Linked DNA regions of Caenorhabditis elegans. The main gene of each other region encodes a partner of the protein of the gene in region 2 in a complex. Each region holds a gene or a part of one and is shown on either strand. Other genes may lie near its edges. The genes, in order: cdk-8, mdt-18, cic-1 and mdt-21.

What was found.
Region 1: mdt-18 (region 2) and cdk-8 share a complex: the UniProt entries of both Caenorhabditis elegans proteins name them as parts of the mediator complex.
Region 3: mdt-18 (region 2) and cic-1 share a complex: the UniProt entries of both Caenorhabditis elegans proteins name them as parts of the mediator complex.
Region 4: mdt-18 (region 2) and mdt-21 share a complex: the UniProt entries of both Caenorhabditis elegans proteins name them as parts of the mediator complex.

Annotation. Positions count from the first base shown.
Region 1 is NC_003279.8:8,700,644-8,706,328, reverse strand, and holds cdk-8 (Cyclin-dependent kinase 8), read right to left. Parts: upstream 3,864-5,685; 5' UTR 3,768-3,863; coding exon 3,763-3,767; intron 3,714-3,762; coding exon 3,474-3,713; intron 3,350-3,473; coding exon 3,162-3,349; intron 3,111-3,161; coding exon 3,014-3,110; intron 2,965-3,013; coding exon 2,829-2,964; intron 2,783-2,828; coding exon 2,661-2,782; intron 2,611-2,660; coding exon 2,512-2,610; intron 2,131-2,511; coding exon 1,971-2,130; intron 1,923-1,970; coding exon 1,839-1,922; intron 1,785-1,838; coding exon 1,569-1,784; intron 1,521-1,568; coding exon 1,425-1,520; intron 975-1,424; coding exon 651-974; 3' UTR 504-650; downstream 1-503. Other genes in the region: cle-1 (Fibronectin type-III domain-containing protein), read left to right, coding at 1-10, 60-163, 275-343; tlf-1 (TATA box-binding protein-like 1), read left to right, coding at 4,372-4,409, 4,486-4,612, 4,692-4,802, 4,907-4,988, 5,455-5,570. UniProt on the Caenorhabditis elegans protein: Component of the Mediator complex, a coactivator involved in regulated gene transcription of nearly all RNA polymerase II-dependent genes.
Region 2 is NC_003279.8:6,492,298-6,495,779, reverse strand, and holds mdt-18 (Mediator of RNA polymerase II transcription subunit 18), read left to right. Parts: upstream 1-1,932; 5' UTR 1,933-1,948; coding exon 1,949-1,993; exon of another isoform or gene 1,994-2,035; coding exon 2,036-2,110; intron 2,111-2,163; coding exon 2,164-2,279; intron 2,280-2,332; coding exon 2,333-2,397; intron 2,398-2,448; coding exon 2,449-2,735; intron 2,736-2,784; coding exon 2,785-2,895; 3' UTR 2,896-2,958; downstream 2,959-3,482. Other genes in the region: uri-1 (Unconventional prefoldin RPB5 interactor), read right to left, coding at 1-233, 291-1,136, 1,180-1,293, 1,419-1,451; dbr-1 (Lariat debranching enzyme), read left to right, coding at 3,054-3,227, 3,351-3,482. UniProt on the Caenorhabditis elegans protein: Component of the Mediator complex, a coactivator involved in the regulated transcription of nearly all RNA polymerase II-dependent genes.
Region 3 is NC_003281.10:2,395,177-2,402,948, reverse strand, and holds the start of cic-1 (Cyclin-C), read left to right. Parts: upstream 1-1,727; 5' UTR 1,728-1,740; coding exon 1,741-1,772; intron 1,773-1,819; coding exon 1,820-1,926; intron 1,927-1,982; coding exon 1,983-2,094; intron 2,095-2,146; coding exon 2,147-2,268; intron 2,269-4,363; coding exon 4,364-4,558; intron 4,559-6,980; coding exon 6,981-7,162; intron 7,163-7,292; exon of another isoform or gene 7,293-7,342; intron 7,343-7,772. Other genes in the region: Sterol 4-C-methyltransferase strm-1, read right to left, coding at 788-850. UniProt on the Caenorhabditis elegans protein: Component of the Mediator complex, a coactivator involved in regulated gene transcription of nearly all RNA polymerase II-dependent genes.
Region 4 is NC_003281.10:11,775,687-11,780,628, forward strand, and holds mdt-21 (Mediator of RNA polymerase II transcription subunit 21), read left to right. Parts: upstream 1-1,934; 5' UTR 1,935-1,957; coding exon 1,958-2,146; intron 2,147-3,179; coding exon 3,180-3,383; 3' UTR 3,384-4,442; downstream 4,443-4,942. Other genes in the region: immp-1 (Peptidase S26 domain-containing protein), read left to right, coding at 669-899; C24H11.5 (Gem-associated protein 7), read left to right, coding at 4,549-4,632, 4,822-4,921. UniProt on the Caenorhabditis elegans protein: Component of the Mediator complex, a coactivator involved in the regulated transcription of nearly all RNA polymerase II-dependent genes.

The DNA.
Region 1 (5,685 bases), 2.2 Mb from region 2:
AGAGCCGATTGTAATTTTTGAGAAATTGAAGACAATTTTTAGAATATAATTTATTGCAGCATCTCTGACTTCTTTGGCAGGTCACATCTCATCGAATACAAGCATTTTCCAATCAAGTGGATCCGAAAAATGTGAAAATAAATTAGTGGTATTGTGTGTTGAGGTTCGTTTTTTATTTAAATTGAAGTGTTCAAACGATCGTTGTGAGACCATCAGAGAAAAAGAAATATTATTTCCAAACAGCTTTAAAATCTTAAAATTAAAATGTTTGCAGAACATGTCCAAGTATCACGGTGACCGAATTCTCCGCTTGCATCGAATCACATCCGACTTCAAAAAATGAACGACTTCCAATATAGAATTTCAATTTTAAAATTGTTTTAAATGATTATACCCCAACCTTACGATGAAAAAATCTCGAACCCCCCCTGAAAAACGGCTTCATTCACTCATTTTGCTTTGTTTTCTATTTTGAATTAAACCAAAAAAATCTTTCCGAATTTGATTTTGATAACTGCCACGTATTTTCTCAATTTTATTGTGAACGTATTTCAAAAAAATACAATTTACAAAGCCTTCAAATTACACATGACGAGCAATATTAGTTTGATGTGAGTACTATAGATACATACATGTTACAAATGAAATGTTTATCGATGATATTGTTGTTGCCATTGCTGTTGTTGCTGTTGATTTGGACCGGGTTGCTGTTGTCCCATTTGAGGGGGAGCCATTCCACGACCAGGCATATATCCTTGTGGTGGAACTCCTGGAGCACGCATGCCCATTTGCATTCCCATTTGTGGATTCATATATCCTTGAGGTCCTGGTCCAGGAACTGCTCCTGTTGGTTGTCCTGGTCGTTGTGGATAGTAGCCGGATGGTCCCGGTTGTTGCATCATTTGCACCATTGGTGGACCTTGTTGCGGGTGATAGTCTTGTGGAGCACCGTATGGAGGAGGCATCGGTGCATACTGCAATTGTAGAATTGAACATAAGAATTTGAAAAGTGGAGTATTGCCATAGGGAAAAATGATGAAAATCACTCCTATGATCTTAAAATGACCCAATATCCTAGTAACGCTTTTCAACAATTTTTCAAAATAGTTTTACCTACAGTAAAAAGTGAAAATTACTTCATCTACCATGATTTGGAAATAAACCAAAAATTATCAAAATTAGTTTCTATCTACTATTTTGCAACGATTAACGAATATTTCAAGAAATTTCAATTTTTGAAAGTTTGGCAATTTACCAACAAAAAAATTATAAATCATTTTACAAAAATTTGCAAATTCAACAATCAATCTATCAAAATTTGCGAAATTTGGAAATTTACAAAAACTTTGAAAATTTGAAATCCTTAATTATGATATTCAGCCATGTTATGTTTTTTATTATTATTTTCTAATTAAAAAGCTTACTCTTCCAACAGGAACATTTCCCATTCTCATCATTTTTGCTTGTGGTCCTTCATCCATTCCACCTTGCATTGGATCATGCATTCCTTGATATTGCATCTGAACAGAAAAAGTTAACTTTTCATTCTGAATATTTAGAAAACTGACATGATGCTGTTGTGGATGCTGTTGTTGCTGCATCATTTGATGTGGATGTCCATCTGGAGCAACAACTCCGGGATGTGCTCCACCCATTGGTGGTTGTCCCATCTGAGGTTGTACCATTTGAGGTTGTCCCATCATTTGTTGCTGTCCCATTTGTGGTTGTTGTTGCATTTGAACTTGTTGTTGTTGATGCTGTTGTTGTGCTTGATCTGGTGCAACCTGTAAAAGAATCTTGGGAACATTTGCAGTGTATTCAACAATTGATGCCCTTACCGTCATCTGCTGTTCCTTCTTCGCGTATGGAATTGGATATTTATTGAACACGTCGTCAGTCTCCCTTGGTGGTCTTTCCATTTTCTGCAAATGGTTTTTTCAAATATTATTCAAATTAAATTTCAAACGAACTCTAAAATAAATATCATTCATCGCTTCTTCACAACTGACACGTTTTGTAGGGTCAACTGTGAGCAATTTGACAAGTAATCTATATGGAGAGCTTTGTGAATTGATTTTCCATTTATCAAAGTATCGATGCAAGCTGTTTGGAAATGTTTGAATTGGTGTTCTGAAAATTGTTTATTTATAATTATGTAAAACTTTTTTAAAGCCGTTATATATTGCAATACAAATTCACACATCCGAAATTCTCTCAAATTCGGAAATGCCACAAAAAATGGAAAAAATCGCAAGAATGAAAAACCAACTTTTGAAATCGCGATTTTCAATTGTTTGAATTGCCACCTAAATGAGAACTGCGACCAATCAGCGACTCGTTTTTTAATCTTGGATTTTTAATTCTTTCGCGATTTTTTTTTCCTTTTTTTGTGGTATTTCCTAATTTGAGACTAATTCGGTTTCATTGAAGCCATTCACGCTACTGAAAAAAATAATGTGCCTTTAAGTAATCTATCAAAATAAATTTGAAAACTTTTATATTATAATTTACCCTTCATTTCTAGCATCGCTTAGAAGTCTTTGATGATCCGGCATTTTCTTCATATCAGGCCAATCAGCATCTGATGGGTATCCGAGTAGATGGAATATTCTTTAAAAATTTCGAATAGTTAATGATTTTAATTTCCAAAAAATCTGTACCTTTTCACTTGATCATAGTGATATGGATTTTGTGCCTTGATGTCTTCCTCTTTACAGAAAAATAATGGTTCAGCGGTAAGAAGTTCGGCAAAAATGCATCCGATAGCCCATACGTCAATAGCCTGAGATTATGCATTTTTTCCTTATTAAATAGATTTTTCAACGTACCTTTGTATAATGCTTTGCTCCGAGAAGCAATTCAGGTGCTCTGTACCAGAATGTGACAACTACTGGATCTAATTCAGCCATCGGTTTCAGAGGATTTGCATAGATTCTTGAAAATCCCAAATCAGCAATTTTTACCCTAGAATTATTATTTCATATTATCGCATAAATTTCAAATTCAGTCAAACCTTCCTCTCATGTCAGGTGGTCCATCACCCATTAATAGAATATTTGCTGGTTTGAGATCTCGATGTAGTACCCAGTTTGAATGTAAATAATGCATTCCTGAATATTTTAAAATACAGTTGAGTGAAATTGGATTTTAGAATTTCAAACCTGATAAAATTTGAAACAATATATTTTTGACCATATTCCGTGGCACCATAATTGGGACTTTCTTGCTTTTAGCTGTTCGATGATGTTTGATAACGTGCCAGAGATCGTGTTCAGCATAATCCAATAAAAGCCAGACTTTTTTTTCGTTGGTAAGAAATACACGTTGAAGACAGATTAAATTCGGATGCCTGAAACATTTTTTTTTTTTGAATATCTACTTCAGTTTTTTTTTCGAATTTTAGATTATAAAAAGGGGAAAATCTCGAATTCAATCTTCATTTTAAATTAATATTATTTAATCGGTGAAATTACCTTAATTCTCTGAATAGAGCAATTTCTCTGCATGCAGACATTGAAAATCCTTGTCCCTCAATCATTTTTAATGCGTATTCTTTGTTAGGAAATTGTCCATTTTGCTTTTTCGGAACTGCTTTATAAACTAATCCATATGTTCCTCTGCCGATTTCTTTTGAATTTTCAAAGTAGAAAAGGTCTTCTACTCTCTCTCGACGCTGTGCCAATTGTTTTTTGAAGTTTTCATCAATCATTAATCTGCAATAGGGATTTTCTGATTTATTTATAGTGCAAATTTCCAACTTACGTCATTTTTCAGTTACTACAGCGAATACTACTCAGTCTTTATGCCAGGAAAATCGATGTCCAGAAAAACGAAAATTAAAATTGAAGTGTACGGTAAGGAAGTCCGCAAACACTGCACCCACGTACTAAACACCAAATATCACGACATCTTCGTCGGTCTTCGTTTTCTAGCACTTTTTCTTGTGGCAAATTCTCGCCGAACGTCACTTCTTCTTCCCAAAGAACACAGCGTTAAGACTGAAAAATCAATAAATTAACTAATCAATAAATGCCACATGTCTAACAGACAAATAACTAGGAGGAATGCACATTCAGAGAGGATACTCTGGTTTGGCAGCGAATAACGCTTTCAATCGATCCTGTAACCGCGTTTGCCTCAAATCAGTTTAGAATGAACAAACCGAATATTGTATTTTGGATATTATTTTGTCTGAATTTAAAATAAACTGGTCGTCGGAAATAAATATTTCTTAACTTTTCCAGAATTTTCTAACATAAATCAAAAAATTCTTATGTTCTCACGAAGTCTCGCTCTCTCGTTGTTGCAGATTTTAGCATTTGTCGAGTTTTCAAAAGATAACAACTCAAATTTACAGGCCGATCAGTTCAAATGCAAATGGGTGATCATCAAATGATGGGAAACCAGAGGTATGAGTTGAATTAAAAAATAGCTTGTTCAGTTTTAGTTATTTGGATCAAGAAATCCAATAACAACACTCGAAAGATATTACAGAACTTACGTTCAAAAAGTGATGCCTGCACAAGCTGGTGGTGCAGTATCACAAAATGCCACGTATGTGCAAACGGCAGGAATTCGAACGGTTCATCACGACGGAAACGGACAGCAGAGGGTGAGATTTTGAAGAATATAATCAAATTTTGTTCGAGACAAGACATATGCTTGAATTTATGAATTAAAGTTTATTTCAGATAGTTCAACTACCCCCGGGAGTACGTCAGATTCAGCAAAATGGTGTCGGTCCTGCCTATGTTCGCCAAGTTCCTGGTGGTCAACCAATGCAAGTAAACTTTGGACATCCAGTAAGTCTTTATTATCAGTTTCTCAATCAACATAACAAATTCTAAGAATTGAAACAAAATTTCAAATTCACGAAACTATTTTAATTTTTCAAAAGAAATTGCAGGGAACGATAGCGGGTCGAAATGTTGCAGTTGGTGTTCAAATGCGACCTGTGCAAGGACATAACGTTCAACAAGGTTATCAGAGTAAGTTTTTAATTTTATTTAGAAAATTGATAGTCAATATTTAATTGATGTTATTCAAAACAAAATATTTTTTTTTTTAAATCGGTTTTATTTCAATTTATTTACGGTCTCCGGATGCCGTGTGTTTTATCAATAGAATACAAGTACTACGTATATCTAGAATCGCGTATATGTTTCTGCAATAATTAATTGTTTTATTGGAATAATATTCTAGACACAAATTAACTCTACATTTACATTTCGAATAACTCGATTTCTGATTTTTGAACGATTGAAGTTTCACATATTTTCCAAAAGGAAAAATTAAATATTGATTAAATTTTCACTGTTTTTGCAAACAAAAAAAAATCGAAAACAATCAAAATAATTCTGGAAAATTTCAAACTCGTGTGTTGGGTCTCACATTACGTGTTGTATAAGACATTCTTGTTTGAAAAACTGAAAAGAGTTTTAAATTTAATTCCAGGACAGCAAGTAGCAAATCAAATTCAACAACAAAATCGAGCTGTATTTATGGCACAAAATCAGCAAGGACAACAACAGATAAGCTATGCGCAAGCACAACATCGACAACAACAACAGGTATGTTTCATGATTATCATTTACTATCATTTACTATATATAAAGCGCGTGTCCTTCTGTCCCTATGTAGTTTGATCTCTGATCAGAGCAACGAAATTTTGGGAAACCTTATGCT
Region 2 (3,482 bases):
CCTGGAAATGTCATTGTGCTCATCGCAGCAAGTTCCTTTTGCTCGGGTTCGAGAGCTGAACGATCAACGGGTGTTGGTTCAGTGCTCCGGAGAATTGATTTGGTTTCAATAACTGAATCTTCTTCCTTGATTTCGACAGTGTCTGTTTGATGGAATGTTTTCACATTTTCAAGCTGTTGCGCAAATCGAACTCCCGATTTTTTCCGTTTGACGGTGGTTTTTGTTACGGTTTCCTAAAAATTGTGTGTTAAAATAATAGTGAATTGTTTCTATTTAGTATTTGAAATTACCTCAACAATTTCTTCGACCTTAATCACTTGGGTCTCTATCTTTTTGGATTTCAGTTGTTGGTCAGAATTATTGCTTTTCTCGATATTATCATCAGATGCATAATCATCAGAGTCGAGTTCTTCTACACTATTGTTAAGATTCTCTTCATCATCGTCTCCTTCCTCTTCATCTTCATCATACTCCTCATCGGAACTCTCTTCATCACAAGTGTCTAAGAAATCTAACAGCCGTTCCATTTCCTTCTGTGTTACTCCAGGTTGTGCCAGCAAACGTTCATTCATTCCAAATCTTAGTTTTTTATCAGTTGGATCTTGTTCAACTTCCTCAACTTCCTCTAATTTACCCAAATCCTGTAAATCTTCGTTTGAAACTTCAAAAGGTTTCGGAATTGGAGCTTCTTCCATCTCATCATTGTCTTGTTCCAGTTTCTCTAGTTCTTCCAAACGGTTCATCACATCGTTGTGATCTTGGTCACCATTCAATTTGTTCTTTTCTATTATCTTCTCGTTCTGTTCATCATTTTGAGACATCTTTTTGTTTTTGCGATTTTGATAAAACAGTTTTTCCATCTCTTCATCGTATTTCTCGACAATTTCGATAGGTCCTCCATCAATCGAAACAGATGAGAAATTATCTTGAGCAAACTTTATTTTGTCATCCAACATTCGAATTGAATCGAGACCTTCCTCACGCTGCCTTCTCATTTCAGAAACTCTCCGATCCAAGATCTTTTCAGCTGTATGAATGCTGCATTCTCCGTAATAGTTTGCACCCATTTCCATCGTAACTTGATTCGTGCGAACTACATGGGCACCGCAGAAATAACCGACTTCGCAAATTTTCGCCTAAAAATTAGAATAAGATTATATGAGAGAGAATGTAATTTACCAAAATAGGAGCTTCCAACTTTTTCGAATATTCCTTTGCTCGTTCCAGAACTTTTTCATAGTTATCAGCAATGATTCTTCGACATTCGGTCTCAACTTCGAGCCGAGCTTTAGCCTGAAAAATTAAATTCATACAGACTTAATTATTTTTATACTATTTTAGGGAAACAAACTCGGAATTTAAAAACGAATTATTTTTGTCTTGTCGTTCATAATCATGTAAAAGGATTTTTAATTTACCGCATTGCATTCTGCAACGTAGAGTTCGCTCATTTTTTCAGATAGGTCTTCTTCACTCGTCACAGTCATTTTCTGCAAATCTTAGAGAGGTAATTCGGAGCGGAAAATGGGAAAAAATGTTAAAAAGTAACAATTTCCGAAAGCGCAATTTAAAAAAGTACAAAAAAGTACAAACTTTTATGGAGACACTACTGATTTCTGGAATCTGTTAAATCTTAGAAATGAACTCTTTCAGAATTTCAAACTTCTTTTTTTATATGCGTAAAACTTATCGCATATATTTTATGCAATATTGAAAGTAAGTAGAGTTTTAACCATTAAAGTAACTGAAACCAGAGTTTTATCGTAAAAATGGTAAAATATTCGGGAGTGTTGGTTTCCCTGGAAATGAGTCACGTAGAGTGTGAGTCCGCAAACACCAGCTGTGAATTGCGTAGAATACATTTAATATCACGCTCAAATAGTTTTGAATTAATTTAATTTTTTAAAAACATTTTTTATTCTGTTTATTTAGTTGATTCATTCAAAATATGGACAATTTAGTGGATATTGATGAAGATGGAACACAAGAAAAGGTATTTCGATTGTTAAAATCCATCTAAAACATTTTAATTCAGCTTTCTGTGAATTCAACTCCCTATCAAACACAAGAATGCGTTCTTTATGGATCTATTTTCGCAAAAAATGTCCCAGTTAGTTTTTAAAGTAATTGGACTAAATTCTAATACAAAAGTTTCAACTTTAGGACTTGGAACGACGTTTAGCCGGCCTTTGTGATCCGGGATGTGAGGAATTCTTCGAGCATGAGATGTCATTCAGCCTACGATCTTCGGGTATAATGGATATCAAAACCGATATTAAGTAAGCTTTTTTGTTTATCTATTTAAATATTTGCATGTATTTGATTTTTGAAGATTGCGAAGAAGATTCCGAACAGAACATCGAATTCAAAATTATTGGCAATTAAAGTACATTGGAGGTCGGTTTTAACCTTATAATTCGTATTTTATAATTTTTTGTTTTATTTCAGTTCCGGAACCAGATCAAAAATGCCCAACTATTGTTCGAAAAGAAATCAGTTCACTTGTCCATTCTCAGGATATGATGACGTATGCGAAATCCTTGGGTCTCCGCATGGACTATGAATATATGACACAAGGAAAATTGTGGACAAAAGGAAATATAAAGATTCTGCACTCAATATTGACTAGTACTTCTCGCGCAGGAACATATGATTCAAATTCAATCAAATCTGTTTCTGATTCTGCGTTAGTGGAAATCAGTATCTCATTGCCCGAGTCTGCAGAATACATGCCGGTAGGTTTTTTAGTAATAATTTCGAATTTATTTTTTCAACTCATTTTAGGCTGCCAAGTCTCTTCGTGATTTTGCCGATCAGCTGATGCCACTTGTTAATATGGAAAAAGTCGATTACTGGAAGAAAATGTTCCCAGCTCAAGCAGCTCCTCGTCGTTAATCTTCATTAATTGATTGATCTCACTTTGATACGTTATTTAATTTATAAAATTCACGAAGTATTCAATAATGTTAATATCCCACAAAGCTTCAATGGTTTATACCTTTTATTTTCTGATATCAACATTAAACATTTTTTTACTCCAATGAAAATTTAGAATGTCATCGAAAAATCCAGTAGATGAGCAACCTTGCTGTGGCTCCCATGAAGGTTCGCATCAAGATCCTGCTCCGGAGACGTTAGTAGTTGAAAAAGAAGTTAACAATGGGGAAAAGAAAATACGAATTGCTGTTGTCGGATGCTCTCACGGAGAAATGGATGCTATTTATGAGGTAAAATTTAAAAAAAAATCATATTTTTCGAACAAAATTAATGGCATATTTCAGATCTATTTTCTCTATTAGATTGTTTTAATTGCTATTTAAAATTACAACTATTTAAAAAAAATATTTCAGACAATGACACTAATCGAACAGAAAAATGGCTACAAATTCGATTTGCTGATCTGTTGTGGCGATTATCAAGCTGTCCGAAACTACGGCGACCTTCCACATATGAGTATTCCACCAAAGTACAGAAGTCTTCAA
Region 3 (7,772 bases), on a different chromosome or scaffold from region 2:
AAGTTGAATTTAGCGTAGGAAAGTCGGAAAAAAGTGTTTCAGGGGTAGAACTTGACGACGAATCTGATTTTGATACTAATTTTAAGTTAAAAAATTTAAAAAAAATTGATGTTTTTCCAAAAAAAAAAATTTTCAAAAAAATTTTTTTTTCAATTTTTTTTTTCCGGAAAAGTAAATACCTTTCTTATTATAAAACTATTATTGACATTGTCATTAACAAGGTCACAATAATTATTTGTTCTTCACCAATTTTCGGCGGCGGCGCAAATAACAGAAAAAAGTAGGTCAAATTCATTTCGTCACCTTATATTCCGTTGGTTTCAATAAAACAGAAGAACACGAAGGGTTTCGTACTGATAAGATGTGATAGTACATAATAACATTAATAAGAAATAAATGTACTTTTGGGGGGGAATTTTAAAAAAAAATTGAAAAAAAAAAATTTTTTTTTTGAAAAAATTTTTTTGAGTTTTTTTTTTTTTAAAGTACCATAACTTTTCTCATTTTTAAGATTTTTTTTATAATTTTTAAAGCAGATTGTAGATAAATATTTTATTCAAATAAAAAGTTACAATCGTACTAAAAAAATGTTGAAAATTTCAAAAAATAAAATTTTTTTTGGAATAAAAAATTTTTAGAAAAAATCCTATAACTTTGCTCATTTTTAAGCTATAAAAATGTTTTTTTAAACAAAACAAAGAAAAATCTTCGCATTTTTATTGCATTAATTAAGACTTAAACAAAAATAGGTCGGAATTTCAAATTTTTGGGAAAAAATTCAACTTACCAAATCGTGACGCCGAAAATGGGTGAGAAGCTTCAAAAAGTTGGCATTCATATTGATGGACATGTTTATAGACGAAGAAATTGGCTGGAAATCTGAAAATTTGAAAAAAAAACATTTCGAACAAAAATTTTCTGAAAAAAAAATTTCGAAAAAAAAAATTTTTTTCGAAAATTTTAAATTTTTCCTAAAATCTCCAATATACTAATTAGCACCTAACAAAGCCAATTTCACACTTTAAAACTCCCCAAAAAGCTCCTTTATACGACTTTTTCCAGCCAATTTGTACCACTTTTCTATTTGCTCAGTGACTACAGCGTCAAAAAGGTCAAAAAGGTGCGAATTTCTTATCAAATGATGATTTCTGCTCAGTTTTGCAAACAAAATTGCCGGATTTTCATCCAAGAAATGGGTGACTGTGTCATATTGGATAGTTTTCACTAGCACCCCCGCCAGACTCCGCCTAGTTTCGGGAAAAAGTGAAAGTTCAAGTGGTCAGAGGGATTGGAGACGGGTGAAATGTAGTTGACATAAACCTAAAGCAAATTGGAAGCATTTTGACACAAAAATCATAAACTCATGAGAAACTCTGAAAAATGAGCCAAATTATTATTAATTATTGTGGCTTTGCAGAAAAATTTCGATTTGTCTCGGTTTTAATGGAATTTTTTGAATTTTAACACAGAAGAAGGATTTTGACTACGTTTTGTTGAATTTTTCACAAAAAAAAACTTCAAAACCCCCTCTAAACTAGCCATAATCCACCAGCTTTAAAAAATCGATTTAAACTACCGCGTAAAGACATACAACGACACTCCGGAATCCCGCAGGCGCGTGTTCTTTACCGTAAATCCACACTCCGAATTTATTCTTATTTATTCGAATTTTCATCGATTTCACTCAATTTCCACTGTTTTTCTCGATTTTTTCATTTTTTTAATGATTTTAGTTGAAAAATGGCTTTAAATTTCTGGAAAAGCAGTCATTGGTAAGTAAATCCCATTGAAAAACCCAAAAAAATCCCATTTTTTCCAGCCAACAATGGATTTTCGATAAAACCGAGATTTGGAAGCAACGCGCCGAGGATATGAAGATTTATAACGAGGAAGAGTACAATCGATTGAATATTTTCTGGGCGAATTGTAATTTTTCCTTACTTTTTCCTCGAAAAAATCGATAATTTTTGGTTTTTTTTCAGTTATAACCGCCGTCGCCACAGAAGGAGCCCACTCACAGGCAAATGTTGGATGTAAACTCCGTCAACAGGTTATTGCAACTGCGATTATCTATTTTAAGCGATTTTATCTAAGGTTTATTCGGAAAAAAATGATAAAAAACCTGGAAAAACGTCGAATTTTTCAGGCAATCGTTCCGTGACATGTGCCCATTCCTCGTAGCCTCTACAGCATTATTTTTAGCGTGTAAAGTTGAAGAACACACTACGTTGAGCGTCTCAAGCTTTCTGAAAAATACAGCTATCGTTTGTGCGTTTTTACGACGGAAAAATTGCAAAAAATTGGCAGAAAAACGCGGAAATCCGGCTGAAAATTGGAAAATTTAGTGAAAAATAGGCTTTTGAACCGAAAAAACACCCGGAAAAAACATCAATTTTTCACTTAAAAACCGCTGAAATCCAAATTTTTCAGCTAGAAACTCTAAAAATCACCTCAATAACCAAAAAAAAAAAACAGTTTTTGAGTCAAGTTTTGTCTCAAAAAAATTTGAAATTCCACTCTTGCAGCTCATTTTCCGCTTATTAATCCAAAAAATCGCCTGAAAATCGATTTTTAAGCTGAAAAACTCGAAAAACTCGAAAAATTTGCCTCTTTTTCACTCAAAAATTCGATGCTTTCCTAAAAACGCCAAAAATAAAAAAATTACGGCCAATTTTCAGAAAAATTTAATTAAAAAAACTAAAAACGCCCAACTTACCAGAAAAAAACCCGTTTTAGTCCAAAAAATCGCCTAAAAATCAAATTTTCCACTTAAAAATTCGATTTTTCTGTTAAAAACGGTTAAAAGTTCAGGAAATACCCATAAAGACCCGTTTTAGTCCTAATATTCGTCTAAAAATCGTTTTTTGTGTGGAAAAATCGGATTTTGTCAATTTTTAACCTGAAAAATTCGATTTTTCGCTAAAAACGCCGAAAATTTCAAAAATTCGATAAAAAACTCGTTTTCACTTCAAAAAAATTGCCTGAAAATCTATTTTCGACAGAAAAAACCAAAATTTATCAATTTTCCACTCAAAAATTCATCTTTTTTTTGCTAAAAAAACCAAAAACTTAAGAAAATTTAATTAAAAACCCGGTTTACTTCAAAAAATCGCCTTAAATCAATTTTACCCTCAAAAATTCAATTTTTCTGTTAAAAACGCCAGAAATTGTAAAAAATTCGACCAAAAATGCGTTTTAGTCCAAAAATCCACCTGAAAATCAAATTTTCCACTAAAAAATTCAATTTTTCTGCGGAAAACGCCGAAATGTTCAGAAAATATTCATAAAATACCCCTTTTTAGTCCTAAAATCCGTCTAAAATGTAATTTTTCTGCTAAAAACGCTAAAAATCACAGAAAATTAGAATAAAAACCTCTTCTTAGGCCAAAAAATGGCCTAAAAATCAAATTTTCTAATCAAAAATTCAATTTTTCTTTTAAAAAACCAGTTTTTCAGCAGAAACAACAGAATTTTGTCAATTTTCCACTCAAAAATTCAATGTTTATGCTAAAAAATACCCAAAATTTCGAAAAATTCTATTAAAAACGCGTTTTACTTCAAAAAATCGCCAAAAAATCAAATCTCCCACTCAAAAATTCAATTTTTCTACTAAAAACGTCAAAAATTCGATAAAAAACCCGTTTTAGTCCAAAAATTCGTCTAAAACTCAATTTTTTCTACTAAAAATGCAAAAAATTTCAAAAAATTCGAAAAAAACCCGCCTGAAAACCAATTTTCCCCTCAAAAATTCGATTTTTCTGCTAGAAATTCTAAAAATTTCGAAAAATTCTATTAAAAACGCGTTTTACTTCAAAAAATCGCCAAAAAATCAAATTTCCCACTAAAAAATTAATTTTTCTACTAAAAACGTCAAAAATTCGATAAAAAACCCGTTGTAGTCCAAAAATTCGTCTAAAAATCAATTTTTCTCTCAAAAATTCAATTTTTTCTACTAAAAATGCAAAAAATTTCAAAAAATTCGGGAAAAAACCCCGTTGTACTCCAAAAAATCCGCCTGAAAACCAATTTTCCGCTAAAAAATTCAATTTTTCTACTAAAAATGCAAAAAATTTCAAAAAATTCGGGAAAAAACCCCGTTGTACTCCAAAAAATCCGCCTGAAAACCAATTTTCCGCTAAAAAATTCAATTTTTCTACTAAAAAACCCATAAATTGTCCGAAAAAACGCGTTTTACTTCAAAAAATCGCCAAAAAATCAAATCTCCCACTCAAAAATTCAATTTTTCTACTAAAAACGTCAAAAATTCGATAAAAAACCCGTTTTAGTCCAAAAAATCGCCTAAAAATCAAATTTTCCCCTCAAAAATTCAAATTTCGCGCCCCTAAATCCCTTCATTTTTCAGTGCCAAAACGATGGGGAGTGACATTTGAGACGACATCGACAAAAAATGGAGTTGTCTACGATTCCGAGTTTATTCTCGTTGAAATTCTTGATTGTTGCCTTGTTGTACATCATGCATCACGTCCAATGTTTGAATTATTAGAAGATTTGAAACAATTTACTCAACAATCAACTATTGCTAATCAACCTATTAAAGGTGCCCCCCCCCCCCCCCCCGGGAAATTTTTGATAAAAACTGTGAAAAATTGGAGAAATTGCGATTTTTCCAGGAAAAATTGGGAAAAAAATCGATAAAAATTGGAAAAATTTGAATTTTTTGAGAAAAAAAAAGGAAATATCTGAAATTTTTTAGGGAACAGTGGAATTTTTTTGATTTTTTTTTTGAATTTTTTGGTGAAAAAAATGGAAAATTGTGGAATTTTTAGTGAAAAATTGGAAAATTTTGAATTTTTCAGTAAAAAAGTGGAAAATTTGGAAAATTTTGAATTTTTAATGAAAAAATGGAAAATTTTGGAATTTTTAGTGAAAAATTGGAAAAATTAAATTTTTTAGCGAAAAATTCGATTTTTAAGTGAAAAATCTAATTTTTTTAGTTAAAAATTGGAAAATTTTGAATTTTTAGAGAAAAAAAAAGGAAATATCTGAAATTTTTTAGGGAACAGTGGAATTTTTTTGATTTTTTTTTTGAATTTTTTGGTGAAAAATTGAAAAAAAATTGGAATTTTTGGGTGAAAAATTTGGAAAAATTTGAATAATTAGGGGAAAATTGGAAAAAATTGGAATTTTTTAGTGAAAAATTGAAAAAATTAGAAATTTTGAATTTTTTTAATGAAAAAATGGAAAATTTTGGAATTTTTAGTGAAAAATTGGAAACATCGAATTTTTTTTGAATTTCTTAGTGAAAAATTGGATTTTTTAAGTGAAAAATCTAATTTTTTAGTTAAAAATTGGAAATTTTTGAATTTTTTGAGAAAAAAAAGGAAATATCTGAAATTTTTTAGGGAACAGTGGAATTTTTTTGATTTTTTTTTTGAATTTTTTGATGAAAAATTGAAAAAAATTGGGATTTTTTCGTGAAAAATTGGAAAATTTTGAATTTTTCAGTAAAAAAGTGGAAAATTTGCAATTCAATTTTTGAAGAAAATTTGATTTTCCCCTACAAAAAATATGCCAAAAATTAGGAAACCTCAATTTTTTCGAAGAATTTTTCGGAATTTTTTTCTTAAAAATTTAAAATGTTTTTAAAACAAAACTGAATTTTCACAAAAAAAATCCTAATTTTTCACGAAAAAATTCCAATTTTTTTTTCAATTTTTCACCAAAAAATTCAAAAAAAAAATCAAAAAAATTCCACTGTTCCCTAAAAAATTTCAGATATTTCCTTTTTTTTCTCTAAAAATTCAAAATTTTCCAATTTTTAACTAAAAAATTAGATTTTTCACTTAAAAAATCCAATTTTTCACTAAGAAATTCAAAAAAAAATCCATTTGTCCAATTTTTCACTAAAAATTCCAAAATTTTCCATTTTTTCATTAAAAAAATTCAAAATTTCTAATTTTTTCAATTTTTCACTAAAAAATTCAAATTTTCAAAAAAAAATTCCAATTTTTCACTAAAAAATCGAATTTTTCCAATTTTTCACTAAATATTTAAATTTTTCCAAATTTTCCACTTTTTTACTGAAAAATTCAAAAATTTCCAATTTTTTTCAATTTTTCACCAAAAAATTCAAAAAAAAAAAATCAAAAAAATTCCACTGTTCCCTAAAAAATTTCAGAAATTTCCTTTTTTTTTTCTCAAAAAATTCAAATTTTTCCAATTTTTTCAATTTTTCCCAAAATCATTCAAAATTTTCCAATTTTTAACTTAAAAATTAGATTTTTCACTTAAAAAATCCAATTTTTCACTAAAAAATTCAAAAAAAATTCGATTTTTCCAATTTTTCACTAAAAATTCAAAATTTTCCAATCTTTCACTAAAAAATTCGATTTTTCCAATTTTTCACTAAAAATTCCAAAATTTTCCATTTTTTCATTAAAAAATTCAAAATTTCTAATTTTTTCAATTTTTCACTAAAAAATCCAATTTTTCACCAAAAAATTCAAAAAAAATTCGATTTTTCCAATTTTTCACTAAAAAATCCAAAATTTTCCATTTTTTCATTAAAAAATTCAAAATTTCTAATTTTTTCAATTTTTCACTAAAAAATCCAATTTTTCACCAAAAAATTCAAAAAAATTCGATTTTTCCAATTTTTCACTAAATAATCCAAAATTTTCCAATCTTTCACTAAAAAATTCGATTTTTCCAATTTTTCACTAAAAATTCCAAAATTTTCCATTTTTTCATTAAAAAATTCAAAATTTCTAATTTTTTCAATTTTTCACTAAAAAATCCAATTTTTCACCAAAAAATTCAAAAAAAATTCGATTTTTCCAATTTTTCACTAAAAAATCCAATTTTTCACCAAAAAATTCAAAAAAATTCGATTTTTCCAATTTTTCACTAAATAATCCAAAATTTTCCATTTTTTCATTAAAAAATTCAAAATTTCTAATTTTTTCAATTTTTCACTAAAAAATCCAATTTTTCACCAAAAAACCTCCATTTTTTTGCAGATCTGGAAGCAATTGAAGCTCAATGTCAAAAAGTGGCAAATGATTCGCTAAGATGTGATGTTTCATTGATTTTTCCACCACATGTCATTGGATTATCAAGTATTATGGTTGCAATGGAATTAATGGGCCGTGGAGAAGAATTGGAAGCTTGGCTTGTCGAAGTTGACACTGATTTTGAAAAGGTCTCGGATTTCTACCGGAAAATTGAGATTTCCCGTGAAATTCTACCCAATACTCGAGAAATTTGCCAATTTTTAGAGAATTTGCAAGAAAATCCAGCAAATTCCGCGAAAATAGACAATTTTTTAAGCATTTTTAGCCGAAAAAAAGTTGGTGGCCTAACTTTTTTACTTTCTAGGCCACCAATAGGAATTTTCGAACATTTTTCTTTAAATGTGGAAAACCCCGAGTTTTTTAACCCATTTTGCCAATTTTCAGCCGAAAAATGATGGTGGCCTAACTTTTTGCAATTTCTAGGCCACCAATCGGAATTAAGGGAATTTTTGTGATTTTAGAAAGTCAAGAACGGAAACTTTGACATTTTTGGCATTTTCTTGAAAATTGAACTCAAAAATTGCAAAAACCTGAATTTTTGTGCAATTTGAGCTGGAAAATCCCCGAAAATCGATGCTTCTGTGATTTTCAGTGAAAAAAAACTGAAAAATCGAATTTTTCGGACCTTTTTACCCATGTGGCCGAGTTTTTTGGCTGATGGCCGAACTTTTGTAATTTCTAGGCCACCGATTGGGAATAAGGTCATTTTTTGAACTTTAACGTTTTTTTTTGTGTTTT
Region 4 (4,942 bases), on a different chromosome or scaffold from region 2:
CCTGAAAAAAAAGCATAGAAATATCTGCAAAAAATGCATTTTTAGCCGAAAATCTCTTTAAAATACCCGATTTTTCATCAAAAAACTACCTAAAAAGTCGCAAAAAACGAGGATTTTTATGGAAAAAATCTGTAAAAAGCCAGAAAACGCAAAAAAAAGTCAATTTTCGTTCAAAAAACCCCAGATTTTTTTATTTAAAAAAAACACCTAAAAAGTCGCAAAAAACGAAGATTTTATGGTTTTTAACGCAAAAAAATCTTTTTTTTTTCGATTTTCTCGAATTTTCAGATGTTTCTTGCACTTTCAGTTGTTTCCAGCCAATTTTCATTTCAAAAATTCGATTTTTCCTAGAAAACCACCTAAAAAGTCGCAAAAAACGAGGATTTTCAGGTTTTTAACGCAAAAAATCCAATTTGCTCCGATTTTCCCGAGAAAAAAACCCTAAAATTTCAATTTTTGCAGGAAGGCGACCCAGTGTCATGTTTTTAGCCAATTTTCGTTTAAAAATCCGATTTTTCATCCAAAACCACCAAAAAAAGTCGAAAAAAAAATAATTTTTCCTTGAAAAATTCAATTTTTTCCGATTTTTTCAAATTTTCAGATGTTTTTAGCCAATTTAAATGCTATTTTTCATTAAAAAAAACCCATAAAATTTTCAATTTTTTCAGGAAGGCGATCCAGTAACCTCCCATTTGCTTCCATCTGGCAGAGTTCCAATTGGTCACGTATTCCTTCGCGGTGACAACGGCCCAGTTTCAACAGATTCCAGACATTTCGGCCCGGTACCTGAAGCCCTTGTTCAGATAAGGCTCAGCCTGAGAATATGGCCTCCAGAGAGAGCCGGATGGATTTCTGATCATTGGTTTTGGGATAAAAGTGATAGAAATGCAGAGAAATAGGCTTCTTTTTCAGTGTAATTATGTGCTTTTCCACCCTTTTTTCCTGGTTTTTGTCTCACTTTTTTTTTTGCCATAAAATACTATTTTTCCATGTTTTTCTACTTCCATTTTCTATTTTTTTAATGGGTTTTAACCCTATTTTTACCTGAAAAAAACACTTTTACAGCAAAAATTCCATGAAAACTATCAATTTGAAGCCAAAAATCCAATTTTTCATCAGAAAACTCTCTAAAAAGTCGCTAGAAAACTAGAATTTTTGGTTTTCAGCGCAAAAAAAATTCAATTTTTAATTGAAAATTAAAAAAAAAATTAATTTTACTCATTTTTTATTCATTTTTATCCGATTTTCAGAGCCTTTCGACCAACTTTTCATCAGAAAACTACCAAAAAAGTATCAGAAAGTATGGATTTTCAACGCAAAAAATTTAGATTTCCATGGTAAAAAGTTGAAAAAAAAAATCGATTTTCACTCCATTTTAATTCATTTTTATCCGATTTTCTCGAATTTTCAGAGTTTTAGCCAAGTTTCGTCTAAACAATTCAAACGTCTACTAGAAAACCTCCTAAAAAGTACCAAAAAACGCACAAAATCCGGTTTTTTATTAGAAAAATACCTTAAAAATCGCAGAAAATAAGGATTTTTTTTAGTTTTTCAACTCAAAAAAATCAATTTTTCTTGGTAAAAATTTGAAGAAAAAAAATAATTTTTATCCGATTTTCTCAAATATTCAAAGTTTTTTAGCCAATTATCTTCAAAAAATTCAAATTTCTACTAGTAAATTCCTAAAAAGTTCCAAAAAACGCATAAAATCCGGTTTTTTATCAGAAAAATACCTTAAAAATCGCAGAAAATAAGGATTTTTAGGTTTTCAACTCAAAAAAATCAATTTTTAATGGAAAAAATTTGAAAAAAAAAATGAATTTTCACTCCATTTTAATGCATTTTTATCTGATTTTCTCGAATTTTCAGAGGATTTCGACCAATTTTTATACGAAAATTCCAATTTTTTATTAAAAACTACATTTCAAGCTCATTTTCAGCCCAAAAACTCTTGAAAATGGCTGATCGAATGACCCAACTACAGGATATGATTAACGAAATGGCCGGATTAATGACAAATGCGATTGGAGTGCTCCAGGCGACTGCTCCGCCATGTGAATTTGGAGCAATTTCACAGGAGCTTGAGGATGAGCCAAATTGCGCGATTTTTGCCGCTGGAATTGCAAAAGCCGCTAAAAATATTGAGGTTTTCTATAGAATTGAGCATTTTTCGGCCAAATTTTCAGAAAATCCTAAGCAAAAAGCTTCAGAAAAGCTGTTTTTCTCGTTTTTCAAACTATTTTTAGCCTGTTTTAACTCAAAAAATTCCAGAAAATTCCAGGAAACCCTAATTTTTATTCAAAAAATTACAAAAAAATCCTCATTTTTACCCGACAAAAATTTAAAATTTGTATTTTTCTATTTTTTTTAACTGAAAATTAGATTTTTTTTTGAAATTTTTGTGAAAAGTGGATTTTTTTTTAATTTTGAGTTTTTTTTAGTTTTAAATTAAATTTTTTTCGGCTGAAAATGAGGATTTTTGTAATTTTTGAAAATTATTGTTTCCTGGAATATAAAATAGTTTGAAAAACGAGAAAAACTGCTTTTCTGAAGCTTTTTGCTTAGGATTTTCTGAAAATTTGGCTGAAAAAATTAATTTTACAATATTCAGCCAAAAAATTTCAGAAAAATTCAATTTTCGGGTGAAAATTTGAAAAAAATTGTGAAAATTCGATTTTCCGGGTGAAAAATGAAGAAAAATCGAAATTTTTCTTTAAAAAAATTCAAAAATCCACATTTTTAGCCGAAAAAAAAAATTAATTTAAAATTTAAAAAAACTCAAAATTAAAAAAAATCCACTTTCCACAAAAGTTTCAGTAAAATTAATTTTCAGCCAAAAAAGTACAGAAAAATCCAATTTTTATTGAAAATTTTAAGCAAATTCTCATTTTTGCCGAAAAAATCGTGATTTCTACCCAAAAAACAGCAAAAAAAATCCAATTTTCTGTCGAAAAATTCAATTTTCGGGTTAAAATTTGAAAAAAATTGTGAAAATTCGATTTTCCGGGTGAAAAATAGAACAAAATTAATAATTTTCTTGAAAAAAATCTCAAAAAAATCGAATTTTAGGTCGAAATTCTTTTGAAAATTCGATTTTCTGGGTGAAAAATGGCTAAAAATCGAAAAAATTCAATTTCCAGCTTAAAATTTCGGGAAAAAACCAATTAAATAATTTTCAGATCCTCATCGACTCATTCCCAATCGAAGCGGGCAACCAGGAAGCGGAAGTCGAGGAGAAAATGATAAAAAACGACGAAAAGCAGCGAGAAAAAGTGAATGAGCTCGTCGGACTCGTCGGCGACAGCAATCGGCTCGTCGGAGTTGTTCAGAAGAAGCTTGCCGAGATTTCAAAGACACAAATGAGCTCGAGACCCAGTGAATAATTATTATATTTTGCCGATTTTTGCCGATTTTTTATTGTAATTTTCATCATTTTTCCATTATTTTGGGCCGATTTTCTGGTAAATTGAGAAAAAAAAATCAATTTTCTAGTCCATTTCCTCTTGACAATTCTTTAAAATCCAGAAAAAATTGCCTAATTTGCTGTGAAAATTTCAATTTCATATCGATTTTCATGTTTTTTTTCCATGTTTTCAGCCGATTTCCATTTTTTTTTGTGATTTTTCCTTAATTTTTCGATTTTAAATCAACTTTTTTTCCATTTAAAATCGATTTTTCATCCCTTTTTGCCCCTGAAAATAGTTAAATTCTAATTAATTTTCCCCTATTTTTCTTGAAATTTTCGATTTTTCTCATTTAAAATCGATTTCCACCACTTTAAATAATTAGAAATTCCCAGAGAAAATTGATTTTCATAGCAAAAAATTATTTTGGGCCGATTTTCCCGGAAAATTGAGAATTCTAAATCAATTTTCTAGTCCATTTCCTCTTGAAAATTCCTTAAAATCCAGAAAAAATTTTGCCTAATTTTCCGTGAAAATTTCAATTTCATATAAACTTTCATGACTTTCTATTAAAATTGGGATTTTTCCCATTTAAAATCGATTTTTCAACCCTTTAAAATATGTCAATTTTAATTTATTTTCATTCATTTTTTCCCATTCAAAATTGATTTTCTACCCTTTTTTCTACTGAAAATTTGCTAAATTTGAAAAATTGTGGGTAATTTATCTTTTTTTTTTTAAATTTTTTTCCTCAAAAATAATCATTTTTAATTCAATTTTCCCCCATTTTTCTAGAAAGTTGCCAATTTTTCCCCATTGAAAATCGATTTCCACCACTTTAAATAATTAGAAATTCCCAGAGAAAATCGATTTTTTTTCAAATTTTTCCCTTGAAAATTCCAAAATTTCTTAAATTTCGAAAAACTGTGATCTCTTTTTCTTTTTATTTAATTTTTAACTGTTTTCTGTATTTTTGCCCATTTTTTACACTTTTCCCCCAGAATTTGGGTATTTTTAAATTTAAAATTTGATTTTTTTTTTAAATTTAATACTCCTCATTTTCCTATTCTATTGGCAAAAACCATGGTTTTTTATCTGAAATTCTCTTAAATCTAGCCTAAAACCCTAGCAAAACCACTTCCAGATGGCCCAGAGCACACAAGAAGCAGAAGGAGAGCAACAGAGGCGACAAGCTGTGCTCCGGGAGCGATATTTGAGCTTTTTGCAGGTGAAAATTGGACATTTCATCTACAAAACCTCTCAAAAAATCGATATTTTTGGTGAAAATCTGAAAAATTCAGCGAAAATTTTGAAAAAAGCCACCGATTTTCTCATTTTTCAAGTCTAAAAACTGAAAATTTTCCAAAAATCCCAATTTTTGTGCCATTTTTCCCCGAAAATTCTCGAAAAATTCCAGAAATCCGCCGACAAGCCAGCCACCATCGAAATGTGCGAACGAACTACGGTCACCGCCACAATTAAAGCATTTCAACCGTCTTCGGAGCACGTGATCGTCGGTACGGTGGCCGTGGCCTAGG